Xenopus tropicalis: one gene and its partners. The protein of the gene in region 1 interacts with the protein of each later gene in a pairwise test. Links are inferred from orthologs where the notes say so. Each region holds a gene or a part of one and is shown in the gene's direction. Other genes may lie near its edges.

Region 1 (4,261 bases):
AACAAATCTTCAATATCGCGGGTGACTAATCTCCCTGCAATGCCATCCCACCGGCAAGAATGTAAATCGCAGTTGGGATGGCATACACGTTGCTACGATTTCCCAAAGTTGCCTTTCAAGGAAACATCGGGCAACTTCGTGAAATCTTAGCCACGCGTATGCCATCCCACCTGCGATTTACATTCTTGCCGGTGGGATGGCATTGGGGGAGATTATTCGCCCGCGGTAACAAAGATTTGTTGCAGACTGCATTTCAGAAAATAAAGCAGCATATGATCTAGGAGCAAGCTGTTGTGATATTTCTGCCACATGTTATTTTTGCCACCTGCCACTGCCCTTATGGTTTTAGGATCTCTGAGAAAATTTCAAATATGGGTCTTGCACACAATGTAAATTGCATTACAATGTTCAATAATCGTAGTCAATGTTAGTAATATTGATCAATCTGGCTATTTTATACGATGCCCCTGTGGCCTTGTATATATCCAAGCAAAACTACAAGTATGTGATCAGTCAGATTTTACAACATAGATCTATTGTTAAATTTTGTTTGTTGTGCTGGAATAGGTTGCAAAGTGACAACAAGTTGGTGACTGTACAAACATACTTAAATGCAGAGGTATTTATTTCTTCAATTTTTTTTTTGTTCTGTTTATTTCAGGGGTGATTCTATGACATGAGCCTTTCTGAGATGGGTCTTGAGATGCTGCCCCCACCTTCACCCCCCAGCAATTACCTTTCTTGCACTGGAAGTAGTCTTTGGGGTGCCAGATTGCTAGAGTGCAATTGCACTATAAGAGCTGAATTTCTAGTGCAATAAGTAGGAAATTAGGCTTATAAGATTACCAGGAGCAGATTTTGCCACTCCTGGTAATTACTGGGGCATTGCAGTCTGAGGCAAATTTCTTACTTGCCTCATGGCAGCGTCCCTGTTTTTTTTCTATATTTATATAGAAATTCTTTTTTTTTTACATGCTGTAATTTCCTCCCCTTTTGGGATCTATTAAATGATACTCAGTGTGTGCTGGTCTGTAGACTACAATGGGACCTAAGTTTTTTCTGTATAATATCTATATCATGTGACTGTAATATGTGACTTGACGTGCTATGAAGCTTTGGTAGGCTAATCAGACATTTGCAACTTGATAAAGGGAGTGGATTCTTCAGAAACTTTAACGTCTGGAGCTTGTTTATTACTGTTGTGTGATTTTGTGCAAAGAATAACAGTAATGCTTTGTTGCACTCTCTATATGATTTAAGGGTGTTGATTACCTCTACTGCCATGGATTTACTACTTCAGTGGTGCTGCCATAGGAAATCTTTATAGATATATATATATATATGTGTGTGTGTGTGTGTTAAATATATGTAACAGCTTGCATTTGTCCAGCTCTTGCTCTGACATGTTTGAGACATTCCCGGGCACAAATCTCTGCTTCTTCCCTCTGATACATGAGCAGGGTTAGCAGGGGAAGGACAGCTGGGGGAGATTCTATATTTGTCAGTCTCTCTCACTGCATGGACATTAGTATTTCAGGGCACTTTGTCTAAAATTACTGCTGGCCTTTTCAAGCCTCAGTCCCAGGGACACATCGGCGAATCTACTGTATGTGATTATATATTTTATCAGCAGCGTAGAATCTGGATCAGCAGGTAAATCTTCACAAGTACCATGTATCTTTGTGTGTCCCAGGCTACTTCAGCCTGTGTGTGTAATTTACTGTACAATAATGACTTACTATAGTTTGATAACCCTCTCTAGTAAAATCTAGTAAAATTACTGTTATTATTGGCTGGCCTGTGAAAAAATATGTCAGAATCCAGAGGTCTAATTTTAGCTCATAATTTTACAGTCCTTTATTGATTTACGCTCTGTAACATTTTCCGGTTACATATGATTATGTAAGTGTGAGAACTGTTTCTCTTGTGTCTAACCAACAGAATCTTATATATTGAAATTTCAGCATATAATATTTTAAAAAGTTGTCTTGGGCTATTCTGTGTTGTTCGATTTGTGTAACACAATCAGTGAAGGTAACTGTGCTGTCCAGGGTTACAGATTCAACTCTCAATCTCAGTGTGCACCCCCACCAAAGGTGTAAAACATGTAACCATAAATACTTAAACAAAGCCACTGAGAGAGAGCAGTGCAGTGCTTGCTGCTGAAAAGTGCATTAATTACACAGTGTTACACAGATTTGTGTAACACTGTGTGGCCTGTATTTGAATTCCAATCAGTTCTGAATTATGGCTTTATATTTTTATAAAGAGCAACTAATGCCCTAACTACAGTCAAGGTGCCCATACACTATAAGATCCGCTCGCTTGGCGATGTCGCCAAGCGAGCGGATCTTCACCCTATATCCCCACCTACGGGTGGCGATATCGGGTAGCAAGGGACTTAAAAAAAAATAACATTTGAGTTTATGGGGCAGTCGGTTCGGGGACGGCATCAACGAGCCGATGCGGTCCCCGATCCGACTGGATTTTCTAACCTGGCCGATCGAGATCTGGCCAATTTCAGGCCAGATCTCGGTCGGCCAGGCTGCTCTGTTCTGCCCATACACGGGCCGATTAGCTGCCGAATCGGTCCAAGGGAACGATATCGGCAGCTATAGTCGGCCCGTGTATGGGGGCCTTTATTTTATTTCTACGTTATTTCTTATGAGGATCATGTAACAATTCTGCCATGTTTAATCTGGTTGCTGAAAGGCCCAGTCTATGGATGGCAAATATATAGTATTTATTGTATACCCTACAAGTTACCTTTTTATATAGGATTAGTTTTACCTGCAGTGTATGTCACAGTATCTACTTTTGCAACCCAAGATTTGATATAGAATTTGTTTTAACTATTACATTACTATTACTATGTCTTTTAAATGGGATCATATTGATCAAGCCTAAACTGCAAAGCCCATTCTATGTTCTGATGAAAGAGAAGCTATAAAGTCAGATAAAATTTTCATAATATAGAATTTGGTGTCACCCAAACAACTACTGTATATTATAGTCAGAGATTGTGCTGCATACATACAGTTACAATAAGATATACACTGCTTAGATGAGCTATATTTTATATTTTGACACCTGGCACTCTGGTGAAGTGCACCACTTTAATATGGGTCAAGTATGTCTGCAAGTGCAGTGGCACATCTATATGTTGGGCACAACTATATGGACGTGCAAGAAGAGTATTTTGAAGAAAGTACCTTAATGAATTGGGTTTAATGTGCAACTCAGTGTGGAAAAAAGGGAGTACAACTGTGCTTGCAGTTCTAAATGGCTCCTAAGGACTAGTTATGCCCCTGAAATGCTGTGCTTTGCCTGAATGACCTATACATGTTATCTATAGCGCAATTAGCGCAATTAATTATCGATAGTCTATTTAACAAGTAAGGATATATTTTACAGGTTAGGGCTCTGGCACACAAATCTCCCTGTTCGCGGGCGACTAATCTCCCCGAAATGCCATCCCACCGGCGAAAATGTAAATCGGCGGTGGGATGACATACGCGATTTCCCTGAAATCGTGGAAGTTTCCTCTCAAGGCAACTTCCACGATTTCAGGGAAATCGCGTCAGGGAAATTGGCATTTCGGGGAGATTAGTCGCCCGCAAACAGGGAGATTTGTCGCGGGCGACTAATCTCCCCGTGTACCAGAGCCCTTATTCTAAGATTTGCTTATTACAGTGGTCATTTACTTATTGAATGATTGTTACTGCTGCAGATTACCGCACAATCTGTTGTGTAAAAAAATCCTATTTATTATATTTCAAGGGTATTGTGAAGGCCCCACTCTGGCAGGCTTGTGCTTGGATTCCTTTAACTCACTGTTGTGTCATTGTTGGAACACTGTTGTGTGTGCATTTTGATACTCTTGATACCTTTGATCCTTTTGATTCTCTGTTTCCTCATGTTTTGCCTTCTAAAGGGTATATTTATAACCTTACCTGTTGCTCAAACTTCTGTTTAGAGGATCTACTAAAACTCTTCCTGCTACTCTGCTTTTTCTCTCAACTGATCTGCATAGTTTTTTTTTTCTGCTCTGACCTGGGGTTGGCCTTGAGTACATGGTTTGGGTTATATCCACCTTTCCATCTCTTATATCACCCTGAGTTGTATTGGGTCTCTGCTGGTGCCAGAGCTCCTCAATACCTGTTGAATTGAGCCTAAATAGGTGGAGATGATTCAACTGAAAAATATATTTTCAAAACTACATCTTCAAGGGGTCTACCGTTTTATAAACTTCTAGCAAATA
Region 2 (4,150 bases), on another chromosome or scaffold:
AGTAGAGCAGGTACACAACCTCTTTTACCTATGAGTCACATTCAAATATAAAAAGAGTTGGGGAGCAACACAAGCATGAAAAATGTACTTGGGGATAGCAAATAAGGGCTGTGACTGGTTATTTGGTAGCCCCTATGTAGACTGACAGCCTCCAAGTCAGGAATTAAAAAATAAGCACCTGCTTTGAGGACACTGGGAGCAACATCCAAGGGGTTTGGGAGCAACATGTTGCTCAGGAGCCACTGGTTGGGGAACACTGCAGTAGAGGATCCAGAAAGTATGTAGGGGTGTTCTCTGAAGCCATGTATTGTATGGCATGAAACAATTGTACAAGAAACTGTAATTATATCTACAGGACTGGATTTCTCTTTAGGCACTCAGAGGCTAGCATCCTCAGCTTCCCCCCACCCCTCCCACAGGGTCGCGTCCTACATCTGGCGCACAGGGGACAGGGTGCATGGAAACCTCCCGTGCATAATCCCCAGTGCCCTGCATGTAAGTAAACTTCATGTGTGGCTTGGGCGGCATGCCGGCCCTGAATGTGTGCTGCCCTAGGCCTAATCTTCATGGCCTTGCCACAAATACCGGCCTGTATATCTACAAACATGAAGTTCTACCTTTAATTGTCCTTAAAAACTTGCAGTAAGATGATCAAATAGGTTAAATAATTGATTGATCTTAATTTGTTCTGTTGTGGTGGGAATATAAAACAACAGTACATCACCCCATACCAGCTGCCATTCTCTTGCTATGCACATTTCTATAAATATAATTTTTAGTCATTTTGCACATCCCTACCCTAATTGCTATATCTTTTGCACATCCCATACTCCTAGGCATAAAAAGTATATACATGGAAATAAGGTGCAATTGTTAAATAAGAATTTCATTTTAAAAAGAATGATTTTCTTTTTTTAATGTGCCCTTGTTGATCAAATAATACTTCTATTTTGCTTTTACCCCCAGATTTTACCCATTGCACCCAATAATACTGGAGGCCCAAAACAAATACACCGTTTGGTTTTCACAAACTGGCAGAGTTGTTTACACTACCTAGTTACCAATACCTACAGACGGGCATACCAACATGCAAGAGATGGATTGCTTTTGCGCATGCGTATGGCCTGCATTCTGAGCAGGCATTTCCTGGGACACCTCTCGCGTTTGCGTCCTTGTTGTAGATGGTTCCGGCTCGCTTGGCTCTTTGGTCCTGTGTGAGATCTGAGCAGGCATTACATAGGGCAGCTTGGCCCTCCTGGGTCCTTGCTGTTGTCGGAACAGGCTTTCGCTTAAGCAACACCACCAGTAGGTTGTACGCATCCTCGGGAGTAGTGAGGAGGCGGAGGAGGAGAAGAAGAAGATGGCGGACGTGCTGAGCGTTCTGCGTCAGTACAACATCCAAAAGAAGGAGATCAATGTGAAAGGAGATGAGGTTATCTTCGGGGAGTTCTCCTGGCCCAAGAATGTTAAGACCAACTATGTCATTTGGGGGTGAGTATGGCGCAGAAGCGGGGAGCAATCGCTGTCATTCTGTCCTTCCCCTGTTTGGGTGCTCACTAGGCATGTGCAACACACACACACACATACACACACACACACACACACACACACACACACACACACACACACACACTGCACTGGCCCCGGGCCAAGCACAGACAGATTTATCCAGGTAACTCCAACCTGTAACTCGTGGTGCCTGTGCAACTACAGCTCCCAGCATCCCCAAATTCTGTCGAAGTTTTGAGGGACTGTGGCAGCTGCCGTTTATGAGCAAAAGTAGAATCCCACCCATAGGAGTTCGGCATAGGTTTCTGTAGCGCCCAACTCGGCAGCGATCACTGTACTACAACTCCCAGAATCCCAGGACAACCTTATTCTGCCCAAGTGCTGCTGAGAGCTGCACAAAGTCCCTGAAATCACTACTGACTATATGTGTATGGCACACTCTCCCCACTTGGGCAAATAGACTCCTGGCATTGCCTCTTATTTATATCGTTACATTACTATTCACACATGCTGTACATCCATACCTTCCTCCTCTTACTATCTGTGTCTGTATGTATCCATTGTGACTAAATGTGCCTCCCCACAACTTACTGAACTACAAATCCCAGCAAGTGTAAAGCTTTAATAGATGCTTAGGATTGTGGGAGCTTTAGTCAGGCAGCATCTCTGGCCTGCACACATAGTATTTATGCTTTCATGTTTGCATAGAAAGGTAACATCAGAAGGATACAGTTACACAATAGTATTATTTTTATGTATGTAAAAGTAATGAGATTTTGAAAAGCTGTACAGGTGCTTTTTTCATGCAAGTTAGTCCTCCCCAGCCCAGATTAAAGGGGAAGTTCACATTATCAAAAACATAGTCCTTTTGTGTAGTTAGGATAATTTTTAGGTATTTGGGAATTGGAAAAGGCGAATTTACTCATGGATGCCAATATGTGAGGCACCCATCAGGGAATTAAAGCCCTACTTTTTTTTTACCTTGGAGAAAGAGCACAACACAATGCAGCCACCTACCCTGACCCAGGTGTCCCAAGCACAGATTTAAACAAGAACTCAAAAATTAATATATATAGAAATGCTTTATTTTATTTTTTTTTTAAACATCTTTTTATTGGTGACTATAAAGGCAATACATGCTACAGGCAGTACGATTCCTTATAGCACTTTTCAAATAGATATAATTTAAAATGTCATACTTTATATATTGAACTTATTGAACACCCCTAAAGGGTTAGCGTTTCTGTAGTAGTAGTTATTATTGAGGACTTCAAAATTGTGCACAGGAGCTCCCAATTTTAGATTGTTAGAAGTGTCAGTAACACTGCACATACTCTGTGTTCTCAGAGCAGCTGTTCTGTTGATAAGCTAAGCTTAGTGGTTGTTACAAATTTTTGAGCAGAAAATGTGTTTTGCCTGTCATAGAAGCTGATGCTGCAGGGTTGATTATTACATACTGATGCACATTGCACTGGTATCAGAGCTGCCCTGTACTAATAATCTGTATTATTGTGACATTTATACTGTGTACATGCACTGTTTTGTAAGTTAGTTCAGCACAGAGCATGTGCAGTGCGTCAGCAGAAGGAAGATGGGGAGCTACTGTAGGTATATTTCGGGGGACAGATCCTCCAAGCTGAATGGCTGTTGTTGCCTTGTGTTGGTACAGAAGCACAAAACATAATGTGCTGCATTTCTGCTCTACTTCTCAAACTTTAGTTCTCCTTTAAGCCCATGCAAGTGCAGTGGAGCACAATTAAAAACTTTTACTCTGTTGTACAGGTATGGGACCCGTTATCCAGAATGCTCAGGACCTGGGGTTTTTCCGTAATTTGCATCCTCATATTTTACTTAAAAATCATTTATAAATTAAATTAAGCCAATTGGATTGTTTTGCCTCCATTAAGGATAAATTATCTTAGTTGGGATCAAGTACAAGAAACAGAGCAAAAGGAAATATAAAATTTTTAAAATGTAAGTTCTTTCCTTAAAATGGAGTTGATGGGAGATGGCCTTTCCGTATAACTGGTTTCCAGATAATGGGTCCATACCTGAACATTTCAAAGGCTATGTCTGAAGAGGGACAGCTGGGAAATGCTGGTAACCTGGCTGTGTTGCTGCATTACTTTTTCCCCCTGGCTGGTTTTATTTTATTTTTTCCTAAAAAGAGCATGGATGGAAAGTATGGGTCAGGGACCCCCCCTTCCCACATGGATTGGATAGAGGCGTACTTGAATAAACACAAAGCAGTCAAAAACATTTTTGAAACATGGGAATCTTTTATTAGTATAATTCCACATGCACTGAAAGTTAAAATACTGCTTTAAAACTACCAATTGGTATATAACAGACTCTGAGAGGTAACCCACCTATACAATTAGAAACAGAAAGAGAGGTTAAGGCTGATGCCACACGTGGCGGTTTTACGCTGCGTATTTTCTAATTCTCTCGGCGGTTGAAAAACGCACAATATCATCATCCATAGAAATAACTTAAACAGTCTCGATGCTAGAAATACGCTAGAAAACGTGTCACCACGGAATTTTCATGCGTTTGCCGAAATACGCCGTTATTTGCACAGCAACCTATTCCTTTGTGTACACAAAAGCAGCTGCCAGACCTTGAGGAAATATGCAGCGTT
Region 3 (4,208 bases), about 57 Mb from region 1:
GTTGCAACAAGTTAAGAGTCAAAGAGACAAGAGGATGGAGGTCCCAATCTAGATGGGAGGGTAACTTATAGACACAAATAGGCAAATATAAGTGCTGTAGGTCACAGCTGGTGACATTACAATATAAGTGCTAGTTTCCAGATCAGGTGCTGTGTGAGTGCTCCAAAAGGTAGTCTATAAGTTTAGTTTTAAAAAGACTGAGGGAGGATTCTCTCCATCTCCGCATTCCAAATGTAAGGGGCAGCAAGGCAGAAAGGTTTAAGGCAGTAGAAGTGGGGGGTGCAACCAAGTGGTTGCTCTGTGAGGAACGAAGGAGTCAGCCAGGAACGTATGGAAACACAAGAGAACAGATGTAGTGAGGACCAGAGGAATGGAGGGCTTTGACGGTTAAAAGAAGGAATCTGCAAGATATTCTTTGTTTAGGCTAATGCCAGACGAGGCGTAGGGTGGATATTTTCAGCAAGCGGAAAACACTTGCTGAAAATTCTGCCCCACGCCTCCTACATGTGCCTGCACCCGAATGAATGGAATATGCTCGGGTGCAGGCACATGTAGGAGGCGTAGGGCGGAATTTTCAGCAAGCGCTTTTCCGCTTGCCGAAAATATCCGCCCTACGCCTCGTCTGGCATTAGCCTTAATGGGAAGCCATGATAAGGGCTTTAGCATTGGAAGGGCCTGAACTCTCCTGGATGAGAGGAGAATTCTGGCAGCAGTATTTAATACAAACTGAAGGGGGGAAAGATGGGAGTTAGGGAGGCTGGTTAGTAGCAGGTTATAGTCGTCAAGTCAGGATAGGATGAGAGCATGCAAGAGCAGCCTAGCTGTTGCAATAGAAAGGAATGGATTTTGGCAATATTGCATTAGAAAAAGTGACAGGTTTAGACAGTGGTGTTAATATGGTCAGAGTCGGAGTCAAAGATGTGTAGGAGCCGCAAAGAAACAAGGCCATATTGTTTCATTGGTTAAACTGTAATTTGTATACCTTAACTATTATATTTCATTATTTAATATCAGTTGTACCATATATATATGTCACATTATATCATATTTTTTGCCATTACTGTGCTATTGCATCATACATAAAAAATCTGTGGCTTTGGGTGTTAAATCATATTCGACATTAAAAATATTTCTAGTTGGTTTAAAGATATTGATAAATGTAATTCAAATTAAAAGAGACATGTATCTGTTCTTTGGTTGTAAACAATGCTACATTTTCTCATAAGTAAAAGCAAAATAAATAATAAAAGTAATATTTTGACTGATGGCTAAATTATTGCGATCGGGTACAGCTAATTATAGAGCTGTTTGACCCGACGTACTGCTATTTTGCGGCATCTTGTGTTCCCCTTCATCAATAGGAAGATCGGCGCACCACTCCAGATCTAGCAACCAACCACAATAACAAAACTTCCCGCCATGCTATTCGACGAGATCACAGGCCCAGCGTGCTTAGTAGTTATCGTGAGAGTTTGATGTTCTGTTGTGGTTGAGAAGATGGCTGCCGGGACTGGAAGTGAGTTTAGAAAGCTTACAAATGCTTTTAATAGCAATATTCGTTGTATGTGTATACCGAAACGCGCGAATCGATTTTGTCCTGGTGGAGCAATTTTATTTTTTTTTTCCTAATAGCGTACTGTTATATATATACCTAAATTATAAGTCTACACTAGTGTGTTTTTAGAGGATGCTCCGTTCATTTAATCATGTTGTGTGTATATGAATATGTAGTGTTGCAGATCCTCTGCCCTTGTTTTGGTGGGACTACACATCCTAGCATCCCAGAGCAGGAGGATATGGCTTCCTATTATCGAGACTAAGCGCTTCTTGTTCCTTTCTTCCAGTGGGGCTTCTTAGTTTAGATTTTTTTTTTAAATAGCCAATTTAAGTAAAAAAGGCAGCTTTGTTGAATTCACAACATCTGCTCCAGGTGTACCAGCCCCATGTATATCAACATCAAAAATGGAGTTGGGCACTCAAAAAAACCTTGGACATCAAGTTATTTCTTAAAAACAACAACAAAAAACATCTTTATTGACATAACATCTCTATTGCCTAATGCATTTTGTGCTTCCCAAGAACAAAGTCATAGGCTAACCACAGAAATTTCTTAATGAAAAGAGTAGCCAAAAAGTATATATGGTTCTTTTTCCTCATTCCAAATAGCAAGTTCAAACAAACCAGCAGTCCACTGAGAAGCCCACTAAGAATACAGTGGCATCTTAGCAGGCTGCTGGTTTTCTGCGCTTTGGGATCAGGAAGCAGAATTTAACTTTTTTCATTTTCAAATTTGCTTCTGAGGAAGTGGCATGCTAGCCACGAAACGCATCAAGCTGTATGGGTGAGAACGCTCTTCTATGCTTTTTATGTTTTTAATGAAATGGAAATAAATACATGTTTTTACTAACTTGTTGCCCGGCGCTCCGCTTCTATTTCTACTTTCTCCCTCAAATTTTGCCATGATTAGAGCAAGAAATAACAAATACTATAGATATTTCCTAGTTCAAAAAATAGGCAAAAAGTATGTAAGCCCTTTTTATTGAACCCAGGTGAAAAAAGGGGCATCTGAAAGCTTTCTAGCTTGCTTTAGTAAATAAGTCTAGACCAGATAAGCAAAACGTCCTTCAGTAATGATTAAGGCATTAAATCCACAATATGGTGTAAAATATGAGTTAATAACTTGTTTGATGTAGGAATGCACTGAATCCATGATTTGGTTTGGGATTCGTCCAAGATTCAGCCTTTTTCAACAGGATTTGGCTAAATCCATGCTCCTGGCCGACAAATTAAAAGTCTTAAAATCAAACATTTTGTCCCATAAACACGCACGTGGTTTAGCCTTCCGGTTCAGTTTTCATTGTGCAGCCTAACAACATTTGTTTGACAAATTCCTACCAGCACTATTTGATTCAGTTCCCTTTTCTCCCATCAGAACACAAGCTGTTGAATATTGGTCCAACAGAACCATGGTCTATTCGGGAGAAACTTTGTCTTGCTTCTTCAGTAATGCGGAGTGGCGACCAGAACTGGTGAGGAATTTAATTGTTACCGTTTTAGTGATGCATATACAGTATTATTGCTAGTGTATTCAACGGGGCACAAGGCAGTTTTGGGTTGTCACCTGGCTGGTATTTCACCAACCTTGTCAGTAAAATGCTAACCCAGAGTGGGTATAAATTACTTGCCTTTACACAACCAGCCTGCCCCTATTCCCAGCTTGGAATTTTTTTTTTTCATTTACTTATAGGGATACTGTCATGATTTTTATGGTGTGCTTCTTGAGAAAAAAAATACAGTTTACATAGCAAATAATTCTCTCTACCATTTACAATTTTATTCTTGAACCAACAAATGTGTTTTTTTTAGCTGTAATATTGTTTCTCCTACTTCCATGTAACTGGAGGAGTCACAAGCCAGACTTGGATTTCTTACTATTGAGTACTATTCTGATATCTACTGGGAGCTGCTATCTTGCTCCCTTCCCATTGTTCTGCTGATTGGGTGCTGGGGAGGGGGGGTGTGACTGAAGTTTATCAGAGCACAGGTCACATGACTGTAGCACCCTGGGAGATGAAGAATATGTGAAATTTCAAAATTAAATCTAAAAAAATCTGTATTTGAAAAATGGATTTCAATCCAGGAATCTGCTGGTGAAGTTCTATTAACAGATGCATTTTGAAAAAAAACATGTTTTCCCATAACGGTGTTTCCTAAGAAATTTCTTTCCGTCGGCCCCCCAGTCTGCCCCTTTTACATCACCATCCATCCCCTTTCTTATCTGCTTGCTATGAAAAAACCCATGTACACATGATATTAGGTTTGTCAACACTTAATTGTGTCTTGCATACTGCACACATCTTTTACCTGTTTTTGTGATATTTATTGTATTTCATGGTTTTAATGCAGACTCTCTGCTTTTATTGTGATCAGGGTATCAGTGAGTCGTGCCATCAAGCCCTTTGCAGAGCCAGGTCGCCCTCCTGATTGGTTTTCTCAAAAGGTATAAAAGAAAAAACTCTTGTGAACTGGTATTTGAACATATTATACCATAGAACCACATATCATACTGTAATGCATATAGTGAAATTGTCAGTATGGGTATGGACTAAAGCTCCACCCCCTTAAATACACTGAGCCTTTTTTCTCCTTTGAGTAGGCATCTGTTAAAAAGGGCTTTTTGACTGGTTTCCTGTTCAAAGGAGAACAGG
Region 4 (3,973 bases), on another chromosome or scaffold:
TATATTGGTCGGGTAGGTCCTTCGGAGTGCCCCATACACAGGCAGATAAGATGCCAACTCAAACTGATGGAGCCAAATCCAATGCTAAATTGTGCCCTTGTATGGTAACTTTAAGTTAAAGTTTATCCTATCATGTGGGAAACAGTTCTAGATAATACAGTTAAAAGACTGCACCAACTGCATTTCATTTAAACCCAATCAATGCATCCCAGCAATTATTAGGTGTCCCTGATTTTTCCGACATTCTTTTAAGTGCAAGTTTTTTCTCTTTGATCACTGCTCTGAGCATCAGTTAAGCAAGGAGGCTCTGTTTATCTTTCCACCTTGTAATGCTTTTGCTTGTCTTCAAACCTAATTTAAGATTTCCACAACCTACTGACTATGCAGCCTAGGGGAGAAGGAGAGTCAGTTATATGCAGGCATAATTTACATTTGGTGCCAATAATGGCAGAAAATACTTGCAGGCAAAACTTCACACCTCCCAAATGTCAGTCACCCAGGTTCAGATTCTGATGTTAATGCACTTTATGTATTGTCCAGCAGCAGCAAATGTCAGATACACAACATTCCACTGAATGAGGCATACATGTCTGGGCCCCAGCAGGAGCCAGGATGAAGGGACTAAGCTTGTTGGCATGCTGGTTTAGCTAACCATGTAAAAGCCAGCTATTTAATAGGGAAAGAGGCAAAACACTTACACAGTCACACTTTCCGTTGGCAATGCAACTAACTGCTTGGCTATTTCAGGAATAATAATGGCCTGCACAAACACACCATTTGACAGCAATAAGCGCTGCTGGGGCATGTTGTGGCTAGCTAAACAATGAACTGTTTCAGAAAATCTAAATTAAAAATACCGTAATTCCTATTTTCAGTATTCTATTTTTAAAAAGACATTTTTGAGAAAAAGAGGCTTGGAACCTCTCATTAACTCCTGCAGAGATTTGAACTTCTCTGTGGGGCCAGCGGCTTTGTAACCTACTCTGGGCACATTTGCTTGGTGGAACTTTCCCCTAAAACACCTGACCCGATTAATGACAAAGAAGCAAGCTGCTGGCTTTTAAGTTGCGGAAATAGTACAACCCAGACTAAGCAAATTCGCCTAAAACAGAGAAATCTTAAATTGCGCCCATTCATCCTCCAGCCTGAAGGGGTCAGTGCAGAGCAGACTCGGCTCCAGGCTGACTCGGGAGCACAGAGGACTGGGCAGTTGTGGGAAAGTGTGTAGCTGCAGCAGCCAGGTATGTAATGTCACTGACAGGAAAAGGAAAATAAGAACCTTTGGGGCGAAAGTTGGCAAGAAATCAAACTCTGGTGCTAATACGGCAAAGTCAGGAGAACGCCACCTCTCCTGTAAGAGACCTTAAGGCGGGTAGTTAATAGATGTCATTGTGTTTAGAGTTGTTAATCAGACCGTGTGCCTATGCACACACACCGTGACACTGACATAACCCGCAGCCTCCTGCCCGCCATTAGCAGCGTCTTTATATTAGCGGGAGCGAGTCGCAAGTTGTACGTGCCCGGCGGGAGGGGGTGTGTCGGTACGGGGCTACATGCAGCCAATGGGCGGCTGGGATATAAGCAGGGCTCTCCGCGCTAAACATAGCTGGCTGTACGGTGCCCCGTATCCCTGTAACTGGATGTAGCGCAGCCTCTGACAACTTCAATATGCTGCGTGCCCACCCTCCTGTCACAGTAATATGAGATACAGCTATCGCACCCACTGGCGTCTCTCTGCTCAAATATAGCCTCACAAGCCCCGCCCACTCTCACAATTCTCTTCCCTCCCTGCACTAATCGCTTCGTCTGTATTTAGAGGGCGGGATAATCAATGGCAGCCAATAGATGTTTCCTTTTAGCCAATCACGTCTATGCAAGAATATAATAGAATGTATATTACAGTAAGGGGAACTTGCTCCTGAAACTGAGTTTTAATATTGTTGGAAAATTTGCACTTGTTGGAAGTAAGGCTCTTATGCATTCCGTTCCATTGCATTTGTGCTGTGTAAGGTTGCCATCTGACTGTGGCCAGTGCTGGGCTGAGAGAGACAGGTGCCTTTGGCTACCCAGTCTGTAGGGTTGCCACCTTTTCTGGCCAGCCTACATTTTTATGCTTTTTCCTATTAATAACATTGGCATCAAGCATAATTTTTACCAGCCAGGTGGCAACCCTACCAGCCAACCATCTTGCTCCCCAGATGAGCACACGTGGCACGGGGAACTGGAAGGCCTGATCTAGGGGTAGGCAGATGAGGTATGTTCCTAGCATTCCCCCCTCACCCAGGCCTGAATTTGTAGCGAGGCCATAAAGGCCCGGACCTGGGTCGTCATGCCGCTAATCTGCACATAAAATCTGCTCACATGCAGAGCACAAGGGATGGGAAGTGCAGAAATGTCCTGTCCCCAGTGCTCTGTATGAGAGCAAAAAGGATGCAGGTGTGGTTCAATCCTGTGGGGGCCTCTGGCTGCCCCAAACAGAAACCCGCCACTACCTCACCCACCGTGTAACCCTCGCACATGCTTCTTCTGTCAACCCCTAGTTTTGGCCCTGGGTGGTATTTGGTATTACAAATTTACCAGCAATGCAGTTGTTGGCCCGGTGGTTTATCTATAGAGGAAGCAGACCTCGCTGGGGGGGACAGTGGGGCCCTGTGGTCTGATTCCTCTATAGCTGATAAGAATTCCCCCCTCCCCAGCCACTCTCCTACCTGCCGATGGGGAGATGTCAACGGTGGCTCTGAAAGTACGGGTGGCAGATTGGGGCATGGATCACTGTGCGCCAGACCCCTCCGAAGATTTTTTGCAGGAGGGCCTGGATACGCTAGTCATGGCACTGCCCTGGCCCGCCCCAGATCTGCTTTACCTATTCCCTGATCTATTTATAATCTGTCCTCTAACTGTATGTAATATCATAGCTCCACAACTTTTTTTCATCACTCCACCTCCTTGTGTCACTGTTCTGCCATTTTTACATCATAAACTTACCTTTGTTTGCCACCCCCCCCCCCCCCCCCCCCATTTTAGACAGCAAATACATTTGATGAGGAAGAAAGTCAAGTTTCACAGATTCACTATGACATTTTTTCGTCCGTACTGGAGGAGATTTAGCACAACGACACAACTTATTGTATGCCACATTACCTTTATCAAGTGCGATTCCAAGCCAGACCATTGCAGGCATAGGCAACTTGTAGTACTCCATGGGGCATTTAGTAGCATGCTATAGGTCCTAGTGCTACTGCCAGTAGGAATAGATCAGCAATTATTTTAATCAGTCTACTGCGTGATAGAAAATGTAAGCGAATTGCTGGTTGAAATGGGCAACCTATTCATGCAGTTGCGCACCTATATTAATAAATCAGCCCCAATATTTTATAACAACTCTCAACATTCATTTACATAGTTACATAGGGTTGAAAAAATACCAGAGTCCATCAAGTTCAACCCTTCCAAGTAAAGCCAGCACACACAACCTATACTTACCAATCTATTATTAACACATACATAAACTATATATACAAACATCAATACTAACTGTAGATATTAGTATCACAATAGCCTTGGATATTCTGCTTGTTCAAGAACTCATCCAGGCCCCTCTTAAAGGCATTAACAGAATCTGCCATTACCACATCACTAGGAAGGGCATTCCACAACCTCACTGCCCTCACCGTGAAAAACCACCTACGCTGCTTCAAATGGAAGCTCCGTTCCTCTAATCTAAGGCTGATGCCAGATGAGGCGTTTTTACCCTGCGTATTTTCTAATTCTCTCGGTGGCTGAAAAACGCACAATATCATCATCCATAGAAATAACTTAAACAGTCTCGATGGAAAACACACTATGCGTAAATACGCTAGAAAACGCATTACCACGGACTTTTCATGCGTTTGCCAAAATACGCCGTTATTTGCACAGCAACCTATTCCTATGTATACACAAAGGCAGCGTCCAGACCTTGCGGAAATACGCA
Region 5 (3,510 bases), on another chromosome or scaffold:
AGGAACAAAGAACAGGAAGTCAGAGTTACACAGATCAGCTGGGATTCTCATTGGAGAATTTTTTTTGCATTTTAATGCAGCCACTGGCCCTGGAGATTTGGGGAAAGGTTTTGGAAATGTTTCAATATTGCTTTAAGAATACAACCCCTGATGTTACTGGACTACAGCTCACCCTTCATTATATGTTAAATTGTTCTGGGATTTGTAGTCCAGGAACAACTGAGTAAAGTTTGGTTGAGCAGTGCTGCAGGCTTTAGTGTACCTTTAAACCAGGGGTCCCCAACCTTTTTTACTCATAAGCCACAGTCAAACGTAAAAAGACTTGGAGAGCAACACAAGCACCATAAAAGTTCATGGAGGAGCCAAATAAGTGCTGTGATTGGCTATTAGGCAGCCTCTATGCACACTATCAGCTTACAGGAGGCTTTATTTGGTAGTAAATCTTGTTTTTATTCAACAAAAACTTGACAACAAGTCAGGAATTCAAAAATAACTACCTGGTTTGGGGGCACTGAGAGCAACATCCACGGGGTTGGGGAGCAACATGGTTGGAGATCACTGCTTTAAACCCTCCCATCATCCACAGTTTAGGAACAAAAAAGAAGTGGAACCCTTGTGCCACTGCCATTGTTTCTTATTTGAACTCCTTCCTTCCTAAAATGGTGCAGGAGTAGGAAGTCTTGTCCCAAATCAGCCCTTGTTTTGTCCATTAATTGCAAACAATCTGGTTTCCACAGTCTGCACATCAGACGCTTATTCCTGCCCCGGCACTGTGGATATAAAAAAAGAAAAATCAATTCACAGCCTACAATTAAGTGCTTGGTAAGTATGAATGGTGCCTACAGTAGCTCTTAGTTCTCTTGTTTGCACAAATATACTAGCATTCTCCCATGCCATGAAAAAAATCCTAAAAACTCAAGATTAGTTTTGGTTTATTTCATCCATTTTAATTCTTCTAAATTAGCCCTTGTTTTAAACTGTTTCTACATTTCTCCCATCCCTAGTTTCCCCTCTTTCCTTTCTGGTCAAATTGAGAAAATTATTTTATTTGTTCCCTGGCCCAAGCTAAAACTAAACAAAGCAAAAAAAAATGTTTTTTTTAAATGAAAATCATAAAGACTGGGAACGCAGTGACTTTTCCCTGTCAGAAGTAGGCGCTACAAGCAAAGACAATTACAATAGCAAGCGGACTCAAGTGACATGCCACAACCAACAGCTTATCCTTATGTGACACGGACGTACTCCCGCCCCCAAAGGTTCGTACGTACCACGCCCCCGCGCTTACGTTATGCGGCGTGACGCAACGATCTCGCGAGATGAGATTTGTGACGTCTGGATTTGTGTCCGGAAGGAATCACGGAGTTGAAAGTTAAAGCAGGATTATTTGGTGGAATTGTGACAGGACAGTTGCCATGAATATCCTGCCTAAGAAGAGCTGGCATGTGCGTAATAAGGATAACGTGGCCCGCGTTAGGAAGGACGAGGCACAGGCTGCGGAAGAGGAGCGAGTGCGTAGGAAACGGGTGGAACTCGCAGAACAAGAGGTGAGAGTAGCGCTGCAGTGAAACTATAGACCCCGGCTCTAAAGGCACACTAGGCCTTATATACTACAGAGGCAAAAATGTGCATGTTGCACACAGAGAGCGATTGCGCCTGTTTCTTGCATCAAGCTCACATTGCGCATATCTCTGTAAAGGCGCGGAATGGTATACCGTTTGACACTGGCCTTGTGGTCAAATGTTCTCCATGGGGCAGTGGTTCAACTGTAATACTCTTGGCATCTCCAGTAGATCTACATTATTCTTTGGTACTCAGTCATGGAGACACTGCTGCCAGAGGGTGCCAGGTACATTAGACGGAAGGTGTCTTGGTTGCACATGTGTGTTTGCCGTTTCAGGCTCGGACAGATTTCCTGCGTAAGAAGGCTCGTCTCTCCTTGCCAGAAGAGTACAGGAGTGATGGGACTTCCTCGGTGGAACTCACCAAGGATTCTGGCCACATCAACTTTTTTCAAGAAGTGGAGGAGGGCAAAGGAACAAACAAAGGCAACAAAGAATATGAAGAGGAGAAACGTAAAGAAAAGGTCTGTTATTTTACTTTACTGCAGGAGAGGCTGTGTGTTTTGACAACTTTTCCCTTACTGTATTTTAAATTATTTGTATTTAACTTGATTTCTTAGGTGGGTTTTGCTTTGTTTTTTATGGATAATTTACACAGGAGCGGCAAGAAAAAACCCTGGGCATTCTTACATATTTAGGACAAAGTGCTGCAGAAGCCCAAACCAGTCGCCCATGGTACCAGGAAGTCCCTGGTCGCCACTGTAAGGCCGAAGATGGCAACGCAAAGGATGAAAAGGTGAAAAACCTGTTAGATCCTTTACATGACATGGAGAAATACTTGCAGAAGAAATCTGGAGAAAAGAAGAAATTTAAAGAAGAAAAGCAAAACAAACATAAATCCAGGCAAGAAAGCAGGTAGGTTAGACAAAATTGGAATTTGCTGCTAGTCTACAGGTATTCCTGCTGCTTTAATTAGAAGCCCATGGATCCCAGTGCTCAATTAAATCCACTGCCTTTGTCTCTCTAGTTCTTTTGTTCTGTGCTGAATGAGCTAACTCACAATGTAAATATTTGGCAGAAGTAGTAATGTAGGCAATGTCTCCAGCCTCTAGAAAGTTTGGTCTTGGTAGGAGTGTGCTGCATGATTTAGAGTGATTTGTTTCTTTGTCTTGTAGACCCACCAAGCCATCAATAGAGCAACTAAGGCAGGAACGTCTCAAGAGAGAGGCAGCAGAGAGAGCTCGGGCTGAAGCCTTGCTATCAGGGAGAAAGGAGTCTGCAGAACCAGAACAAGAAATGGATGACCGAACACGCCGTTACAATTCTCAGTTCAACCCACAGCTGGCACGAAAACCTAAAATGCGAGAAGAGCCACAGCGGTGATGTTAAAGAAACTAATGGCAATATTTCTACATCTCATAGCTCTGATAATAAAATGTATATATTTCCAAGTTGCTGTAGAATGTCCTAATGCACTTGGGTTAATGGACCACAAGCCCCTACAAAATGCCAGACGTCTGCACTGAGTAGCAGGACAGGAGAGGATTACCCATTTTTAAACCACACAGGTGTGATAGAAAGTAAATTCTACATAGGTTGTACAGCAGTGCTTACATACACCAAGGCTTTTTCTTGGTTGCAATTATATAAAACTGGATTCCTGTAATTGGTGCTCTACTTTATACCAGGCAGAAAAATCATTCTAGAACAGGAGTTTTCCTTATGCCTGTTTCTACATGAGATTAAAGAAAATGTTGTTTGATACAAGGAAGATTAATCATGAAACAAAAGCACTGGGGAAAAACATGAAGTGTCAGGTTATTGCCAAAACAGTCACATAATTTGGATTGTGAACTACACAGGGATAGAGAGGTCTGGCATGTTTAGTGATTACTGTCTTTTCAACAATGAAATCTCTCAAACATAAGTATACATTTTCAGAAATATGCTT
Region 6 (4,186 bases), on another chromosome or scaffold:
AGATATGGGGCATTCGGGGATATAGAGATGACAAGGGGCAGATAAAGATGCGTGGGGGCAGATAGACATAAGTAGGGGCAGATAGACATAAGTAGGGGCAGAGATGACATGGGGCAGATAGAGGTTAGTAGGGGCAGATAGACATAAGTAGGGGCAGAGATGACATGGGGCAGATAGAGGTTAGTAGGGGCAGATAGACATAAGTAGGGGCAGAGATGACATGGGGCAGATAGAGGTTAGTAGGGGCAGATAGACATAAGTAGGGGCAGAGATGACATGGGGCAGATAGAGATTAGTAGGGGCAGATAGACATAAGAAGGGGCAGAGATGACATGGGGCAGATAGAGATTAGTAGGGGCAGATAGACACAAGTAGGGGCAGAGATGACATGGGGCAGATAGAGATTAGTAGGGGCAGATAGACATAAGTAGGGGCAGAGATGACATGGGGCAGATAGAGGTTAGTAGGGGCAGATAGACATAAGAAGGGGCAGAGATGACATGGGGCAGATAGAGGTTAGTAGGGGTAGATAGACATAAGTAGGGGCAGAGATGACATGGGGCAGATAGAGATTAGTAGGGGCAGATAGACATAAGTAGGGGCAGAGATGACATGGGGCAGATAGAGATTAGTAGGGGCAGATAGACATAAGAAGGGGCAGAGATGACATGGGGCAGATAGAGATTAGTAGGGGCAGATAGAGATTAGTAGGGGCAGATAGACATAAGTAGGGGCAGAGATGACATGGGGCAGATAGAGATTAGTAGGGGCAGAGATGACATGGGGCAGATAGAGATTAGTAGGGGCATATAGACATAAGAAGGGGCAGAGATGACATGGGGCAGATAGAGGTTAGTAGGGGCATATAGACATAAGAAGGGGCAGAGATGACATGGGGCAGATAGAGGTTAGTAGGGGCAGATAGGGTTAAGAAGGGTGATACAGAGTTGGGGCTATTTTCCCTTTAACCCCTTGATGTTCCATGCACCCACCATCACTCTCTCTGCAGCAGTTATTAACCCTTTCCTGCCCAGTGCTTATATGCGGCCCCTCTCCCAGTATCAGGCCCCTGTCTATTAACTCCTTCCTGCCAGTGATCTACAGACTATGAGTCCATTGATACTTTCATTTCAGTGCAGAACCCCTTTAACCCCTTATTGCCAAGGGCATTGCCCCATTAACCCCTTTGTACATAAAACATCACCCTATTGGTGCTCCCCGGCCCTGGGTTTTTTGCCTTAACAAACTGCAAGGGTGCTGCAGATGATTGCGCTATTAACCCCTCCTGTGCTGGATATGAGGGAAGGGTGCAGCCCTAGTTTCCTGCCCACCCCCTGTCTCTTGCCGAGAATCTTTTAGAAAAGAAGAACTTGTGAGAGAGACAGAGAGAGAGCGAGCGAGAGCGAGAGGGCAGGAAGTGACTGGCTCTGAGCATCTGACCCACAGCACCGGGACCCACAGGTACAGTCTGGGGCAGGAGAGGGTTAATCAGGGCACAGGCTTGTGCAGGAGGGGGTTAATCAGGGCAGAAGTGCATTAATCAGGGCAAAGACTGGGGCAAATGAGGGTTAATTAGGGCACAGACTGGGGCATGTGAGGGTTAATCAAAGCACAGACTGGGGCATGTGAGGGTTAATCAAGGCACAGACTGGGGCATGTGAGGGTTAATCAAGGCACAGACTGGGGCAGTGAAAGGTTAATCAGGGCACAGACTGGGGCAGTGAAAGGTTAATCAGGGCACAGACTGGGGAAAGTGAGGGTTAATCAGGGTACAGATGGGGCTGAGAGGGTTAATCAGGGCACAGATGGGGCTGAGAGCGTTAATCAGGGCACAGACGGGGCTGAGAAGGTTAATCAGGGCACAGAGTGGGACAGTGAAAGGTTAATCAGGGCAGACGGGGCTGAGAGGGTTAATCCGGTCACAGGTCTGAGCAGGAAGGGGTTAATCAGGAAGGGCAGTAGAAGCTCATCATGCCCCAGGCTGGGGTAGGAAAGTAATTCACACCCCAAATGGGGCACAAAATGAGGGTTGGACACGGGGTCACTCTTCTCCCCTATATTTCCTCTCACTCACCTTCCTCTGTCACTCACTCTCACACTCATTCATGCACTCACTCACACTCTCTCCCACCCTCTGACTCCCTCTCATTCACTTTCACCCCATAACTCACTCTCTTCCCCTTCACTCACTCACTCTCTTCCCCTTCACTCACTCACTCTCTTCCCCTTCACTCACTCACTCTCTTCCCCTTCACTCACTCACTCTCTTCCCCTTCACTCACTCTCTTCCCCTTCACTCACTCACTCTCTTCCCCTTCACTCACTCACTCACTCACTCACTCTCTTCCCATTCACTCACTCACTCTCTTCCCCTTCACTCACTCACTCTCTTCCTCTTCACTCACTCACTCACTCACTCTCTTCCCCTTCACTCACTCACTCTCTTCCCCTTCACTCACTCACTCTCTTCCCTTTCACTCACTCACTCTCTCCTCTCACCCTGCCATCACCGTCTCCCACTCACTTTTTCCACCTCACTCACTCACTCTCTCCCCACCTTTCCTCTCAGTCTCCCCCCTCAATCCCCCTGTTGCCCCTCACTTACTGACACTCTTGCCTCCCTCACTTTCATCCCTTCTGCACTCACTCACACTCACTCTCTGGGTGCCGCACTCTGTGGCATATACTCCCACTCTTACCCCCCATGTACCACTCACTGCCTCACTCACTCTCCTGCCTCACTCACTCTCCTGCCTCACTCACTACCTCACTCTCCTGCCTCACTCACCCCAGTCTACTTGCCCCACTCATTTGCACCCCTACGCTCTGCGCTATATTTCCTCTTGCCCCTATTGCATTTGATTCCCCTCATTTTTCCCATGATCCTCTCTCCCCCCCGCAGGCCGCACCATGAGCAGGAAGGTTGTGCGCACCAGTAAGTTCCGCCATGTTTTTGGCCAAGCCGTGAAAGCCGACCAATGTTACGACGACATCCGCGTCTCCCAGAACACCTGGGACTCCAACTTCTGCTGCGTCAATCCCAAGTTCCTGGCCATCGTGGTGGAGGCCAGCGGGGGGGGCGCCTTCATGGTTCTGCCTCTCTCTAAGGTGAGTCACTCACCTGTACAGGTAGGGGAGAAAACTGAGCAAGCACTCACCCAGGAGCTGAGTGGGGCACATTGTTGTTAGTGAGTGAGAGAGGCAGGAAGTGAGTGAGGGAATACTAAATATTGGGGGAGGGGGAGGGGTAAGTGAGTTATTGGCATGTGAGTGAGCAGGGATGAGGGTGAGTGAGCTGTCAGTGTGAGTGCAGTGGGAAATTTGTAGAACACTATAGTGAGTGGGTAGGTTGTGAGGGGAGCAGGTGAGTACTGGGGGGTGAGTAGGAGCGGGGGGCGTGCACGTGTGAGTGGCTGAGCACAGAGCGGCAGGATGTGGTTGCTACAGGATGCTGAGGGCGGGAGGTGCAGGTGCGAAGTAGACACTCACAGGCAGAGAGGGACGTGCGCCGACACCAAACAGCCCCGGAGAGAGGATTTATACTGTGGCACAGTGAGAACTTAGAGCCCAGCTGAGGGGGGGAAGAAATATAGCACGCTCAGTCCACTTCCTGTGCTTTCAGGAACTATTGCTGTCTGCTTGAGAGCTCATCCTCCCAGAATTTATAGGTGTTCACCCTAAAATAAATGAGGGAGACACCAAGTGTCCCGCAGGCTGAGGTTTGTCCTGTTTGAGCTTAGTGCAGGCTGAGGTTTGTCCTGTTTGAGCTTAGTGCAGGCTGAGGTTTGTCCTGTTTGAGCTTAGTGCAGGGAGAGGTTTGTCCTGTTTGAGCCTAGTGCAGGCAGAGGTTTGTCCTGTTTGAGCTTAGTGCAGGCAGAGGTTTGTCCTATTTGAGCTTAGTGCAGGCTGAGGTTTGTCCTGTTTGAGCTAAGTCCAGGCAGAGGTTTGTCCTGTTTGAGCTTAGTGCAGGCTGAGGTTTGTCCTATTTGAGCTTAGTGCAGGCTGAGGTTTGTCCTGTTTGAGCTTAGTGCAGGCAGAGGTTTGTCCTGTTTGAGCTTAGTGCAGGCAGAGGTTTGTCCTGTTTGAGCTTAGTGCAGGCAGAGGTTTGTCCTGTTTGAGCTTAGTGCAGGCTGAGGTTTGTCCTGTTTGAGCTTAGTGCAGGCAGAAGTTTGTCCTGTTTGAGCTT
Region 7 (4,049 bases), on another chromosome or scaffold:
TATGTGACTAGCCTTATTGCTCAAAAATACTTTTCGCTGGGGTACCTCATTAACTTTCATCTACCAATGTGGAAAAGCAAACTACTGGATAGGGTTCAATATAGCCACCTATACATGCAGGCAACTTGCTTACAATTCTGTTGTTCAACTAGGGCTGGGCGGTATGACCAAACATTTTTCAAAATTATATCGGTGTCACGGTATTTGACGGTATTTTTTTTTTCCATGCATGATTAGGTGTTAACCCCATTTCCTAATAAATTAGAGAATAATTACTGCAGTATTGAAAATCAGAGTCAGGCAAGCGAAGGATCGGCAACAGAAAGTCGTAAGGTAAATCAGGCAGGCTTAGTTTCCCAGGCAAGGCCGCAGACAACATAGCACAGGAGGAGGAGTTTGATAGCTTTAAATATCCCCCACGCATGCGCAGGACCGGCGCCATCAGCGCATCATGGACGTGCACGCTTTGATATGTACGTGCGCTTTGACGCACGCGCACCTGGACGCCTGTGCGCAATGTCCCGCAGACAACGGGCCGCACGGGTGAGTACCCTGACACCCCGGTATTGCGGTATCTGAAAAATGAATATAGTTTAAAAAAAACAACACCGGTATTCGGTATTAAACGGTATATCGCCCAGCCCTATGTTCAACACTACCTTACCATTAGCCTGGGTTGAGTTTTGGAGCCAATGGTAATTGCAGCGGCTAAAACTGACATAACTAGCCAGACGATGTCCAGCAAAGTTGGCCAAAATATGGCAGCCATGGTTGGACATTGGGGGGGGACCCCCTGCCTAGATAGGAGATACTTGAGACCTACCAATGTAAGTGCCTAAGCAGCCTTATTAGTTCCAATGAGAGCATAAAATGTAAGCTTTTCTACTACTCTCTTCCTTCTCTCACCATTTATACCTTGTTTTGTTTGAAAAAAAAATAACATTATGCAACATAACCAGGTAACATGTTGTTTATATATCCTTCATACCAGGTGGGCCTGCAGGATACTCACGCTTAACTAAACTCCAAAAACCCTGTTCAACGACAACTTTTACCCGAGTTGGGCAGCCACTTTCCTCACTGAGAAGCAACGAGAGCGGAGCTGATGCTGCCCTTTCTCCTCACTCGCAGCATCCCTCAATCTCCCGCCCTGCCCGCTGCCATGGAAACCAGAGGAGGACCAGCCGCCCAATCCCCGCCCACTAAAGAAAAATGACCGTATGAGTATGAACATTCCAATTCACGAATCATAAAGTGTTTGGACCGGCGGGAACACTACGCGGCGGCAACCTACCTTGCTCTCACCTTCACCGGCTAACGATGATAGGAAGAAGAGCAAAGTTCAGACAGGCCATTGGTTACCTGTCACACCTCGCATAGCAACGGCGGCAAAGGTGCGTCGCAGCGCCCTAGCAACCGCCAAACCCGCGCCATTTCTCCGAGGCGAGTGGGGAGCGGGCGGGGGATAGAAGGAGAGTGGGGAGAAGCGACAATAGCGCCGCCCTTTGCCCCTCCCCCTTTCCTTTCTCGGGGCCCCGCACACGGGGAGGAGGAGCCTACCTCCATTATTTATATTTTGTCTCCCTTTTTATTTCCTCCCCTCCTTCAAAGTCTGACACGTCCGCAGTGAGTGAGTGGCGTTGGCAGCCTGTCAATCCGTCACCGGAGCCGGCAAGAGCGAAATAGCGGGGGAAGCAGCCATAAATCCCGCCCGGGAGTCCCGGCACCGGCCCCTCCATCCATCTCTTCCCCTCAGCTCCCCTTAGCCGCCGCCGCCGCCGAGAAGGGGAAAAAAAACTTTTTTTGATTGCTGCTCTGAGCCACCATCATCATCATCATCATCTTCCCCACACCGGGCACCTTAACCATTTCTATCTTATTACTCCCATTAATAGCTCAAGCTGCTGCTGCTTCTTCTCCCCCCACCCCTGGGCACAACTTTCATTTAGATTTTCTATACAAATATTTAATTTTGTAGTTTTCTTTTATTTATTTTTTTTTTTTACTACTGATTTGATGTTGGACACGACCCTGCAAAGGAGCTACCATCAGTCACTGATTTATTTATTTCTCTTAGAAAGGAGAATACTACCGGAGCAGCCGGAGATTGGCAGCGCTCGCTCAGAGAAGTGGATGAAGGATTGACTGGAAAACCCTGGTCCGAAATCAAAAAAAAAAATCAAAAGGGATCAATAAATGACCATCGTGGACATTGCTGAAAACGCGTTGATCTTTTCATCAAAATAGTCTGAATGTAATTCATTTCTATGCTGGCCAAAATGCATGGATGGGATAAGCACCGAATAGAAACTTGATTTTTTTTTTTTTTTTAATAATAAAACACGACTGGAACTGCTGTGAAGGAACATGTGTCACTAGTACTTATAGTGACGTAGAGGTTTGTGCTACATTTGAACATCTTTGTAGCAGATTTATTTTCCTCATTTGGAATGCATTGTTGGAATTGAAAAGAATTGAAATAAAGACTGAATTTACAGCAGCTCGTAATACTTCAAGAACTCAGAACCAGGTGCTCACTTGTTATTCTATTGAAAACTTAACACTATGTGAAAGGAGTAAACACAAATCATGCCTCTGCTGTGTGTGCCGTCATTTTGGAGTAAACTCTGACTGACCTGTCATTACCTGAAGATTAAAATACAGACAGAAGAAGATGCTGACTTTCATTTGCAACTTTTAATATGCCCCCTTTTCTCGTCCACGTTTTCTTGGAATAAAAAAAAAAAGAAACTTGACCTCTTCAGAAAGAGCATTTTTAAAATAAAAAGATTTTAGCTGCTGAAGGCGATCGCACCTGTAATACATTTTTATGAAACCCTACATGTTGTGGTTCTGATATTTGGATGGTATTTACATTGGTGGGATGAAATACTATCACAGACCTTGATTTAAAACTGCTCTGTCCATAGAGACTGGGTATCTGGTTGGATTCTGACGGTTGACGTTGTTGATGTGTGGGGCAGTAACCCCACAGCGGTGCTATCACTGGCTGTGAGGTCTCCTTGCAGTCTGTGTTGTCATTGATTAGGCTGCGGAGAAGAGTATGGACGAACAGACCAGGATGATGCAGACTTTGGCTGGGGTGGCCATGGCTGGCCACTCGGTTCAAGGGGGAATGACTTTACCTCCTCCCCATGGTCACGATGGGGGAGATGGTGACGGCAGGAAGCAGGACATTGGAGACATCCTGCACCAGATTATGACCATAACTGATCAAAGCTTGGATGAGGCACAAGCAAAGTTGGTTTCCACTGCAATAAAAACACACACACACACATCACCCCTTTCCCTCCCAACACATCACAGCAGCACATCACTCCAGTTCATCTTGGAGTGAACAACTTCTTACAAGCTGTTTGTCAAATAAACCAGCACATGTTTGGGTAGCGATGAGCAGTGTCTGAGATGCTGCTCGAAGCTGCTTGCATGGGGGTGAGATGATGCCCACGCTAGCAAACTGATATAAACACAGCTCGCAGCTATAACCAGGCTCTTGTTTATTTGTATGTAGAGATTCTCCCCTGGTGCTTGTAAATGTAGCTTCCAGGACCCCTCCAGTCCTTTCTCTTTCTGCCAGTGGGGTTGACACTGTCCCTATATATGGGGGAAAAACAATCATTATAAATAAATGTGGTTATGATGGAAATTACTAGTCTTTTACTGGCCTATGTATTAACAGAGTGTTTCCTATAAATGCCTCTTTAGGTTTATTCATTTCTCAACAAAAAAAGGCATACCATTTTCTGGTTCTAATCCATATATTGTCTATTAATTATAGATCTACTTCCAGGGCCACGTAAATATTTCTTTTCAAGCGCCTTTTAGGGGGAGTGTTATAAATTGGCATGTGTATGTGTATATATGGACACGCACATCAAGGAAAATGTTTATGTAGTCATTAATTGCTACCCAACTGCTGCTTAGTTCCTGACAATATGTGTGTGGGGGTATATATCTATATATATATATATATATATATATATATATATATATATATATTGAGATTTGATGTTATGAGTACAGTGTAC

The links.
Region 2: the proteins of fsd2 (region 1) and cdc73 interact in binary tests that used the Homo sapiens proteins (3 or more experiments, as listed by UniProt). The two-hybrid records come from large-scale screens. The link is inferred for Xenopus tropicalis from reciprocal best matches to the Homo sapiens genes FSD2 and CDC73.
Region 3: the proteins of fsd2 (region 1) and brd8 interact in binary tests that used the Homo sapiens proteins (3 or more experiments, as listed by UniProt). The two-hybrid records come from large-scale screens. The link is inferred for Xenopus tropicalis from reciprocal best matches to the Homo sapiens genes FSD2 and BRD8.
Region 4: the proteins of fsd2 (region 1) and esd interact in binary tests that used the Homo sapiens proteins (3 or more experiments, as listed by UniProt). The two-hybrid records come from large-scale screens. The link is inferred for Xenopus tropicalis from reciprocal best matches to the Homo sapiens genes FSD2 and ESD.
Region 5: the proteins of fsd2 (region 1) and leng1 interact in binary tests that used the Homo sapiens proteins (3 or more experiments, as listed by UniProt). The two-hybrid records come from large-scale screens. The link is inferred for Xenopus tropicalis from reciprocal best matches to the Homo sapiens genes FSD2 and LENG1.
Region 6: the proteins of fsd2 (region 1) and coro1a interact in binary tests that used the Homo sapiens proteins (3 or more experiments, as listed by UniProt). The two-hybrid records come from large-scale screens. The link is inferred for Xenopus tropicalis from reciprocal best matches to the Homo sapiens genes FSD2 and CORO1A.
Region 7: the proteins of fsd2 (region 1) and pbx3 interact in a two-hybrid assay, tested with the Homo sapiens proteins (3 studies listed by BioGRID and IntAct). The two-hybrid records come from large-scale screens. The link is inferred for Xenopus tropicalis from reciprocal best matches to the Homo sapiens genes FSD2 and PBX3.

Annotation. Positions count from the first base shown.
Region 1 is NC_030679.2:105,256,613-105,260,873, reverse strand, and holds the start of fsd2 (fibronectin type III and SPRY domain-containing protein 2), read left to right. Parts: upstream 1-1,461; 5' UTR 1,462-1,653; intron 1,654-4,261.
Region 2 is NC_030680.2:113,580,043-113,584,192, reverse strand, and holds the start of cdc73 (parafibromin), read left to right. Parts: upstream 1-1,350; 5' UTR 1,351-1,360; coding exon 1,361-1,491; intron 1,492-4,150.
Region 3 is NC_030679.2:47,838,773-47,842,980, reverse strand, and holds the start of brd8 (bromodomain-containing protein 8), read left to right. Parts: upstream 1-1,408; 5' UTR 1,409-1,497; coding exon 1,498-1,516; intron 1,517-2,932; coding exon 2,933-3,029; intron 3,030-3,930; coding exon 3,931-4,000; intron 4,001-4,208. UniProt on the Homo sapiens protein: May act as a coactivator during transcriptional activation by hormone-activated nuclear receptors (NR). Isoform 2 stimulates transcriptional activation by AR/DHTR, ESR1/NR3A1, RXRA/NR2B1 and THRB/ERBA2.
Region 4 is NC_030678.2:134,606,982-134,610,954, reverse strand, and holds the start of esd (S-formylglutathione hydrolase), read left to right. Parts: upstream 1-1,173; 5' UTR 1,174-1,241; exon of another isoform or gene 1,242-1,367; intron 1,368-3,973.
Region 5 is NC_030683.2:104,890,749-104,894,258, forward strand, and holds leng1 (leukocyte receptor cluster member 1), read left to right. Parts: upstream 1-1,379; 5' UTR 1,380-1,412; coding exon 1,413-1,544; intron 1,545-1,897; coding exon 1,898-2,083; intron 2,084-2,217; coding exon 2,218-2,474; intron 2,475-2,734; coding exon 2,735-2,942; 3' UTR 2,943-3,010; downstream 3,011-3,510.
Region 6 is NC_030685.2:2,354,822-2,359,007, reverse strand, and holds the start of coro1a (coronin-1A), read left to right. Parts: upstream 1-1,386; 5' UTR 1,387-1,461; intron 1,462-2,902; 5' UTR 2,903-2,910; coding exon 2,911-3,108; intron 3,109-4,186. UniProt on the Homo sapiens protein: May be a crucial component of the cytoskeleton of highly motile cells, functioning both in the invagination of large pieces of plasma membrane, as well as in forming protrusions of the plasma membrane involved in cell locomotion.
Region 7 is NC_030684.2:27,662,741-27,666,789, reverse strand, and holds the start of pbx3 (pre-B-cell leukemia transcription factor 3), read left to right. Parts: upstream 1-1,249; 5' UTR 1,250-1,394; intron 1,395-1,448; exon of another isoform or gene 1,449-2,077; 5' UTR 2,078-3,064; coding exon 3,065-3,261; intron 3,262-4,049. UniProt on the Homo sapiens protein: Transcriptional activator that binds the sequence 5'-ATCAATCAA-3'.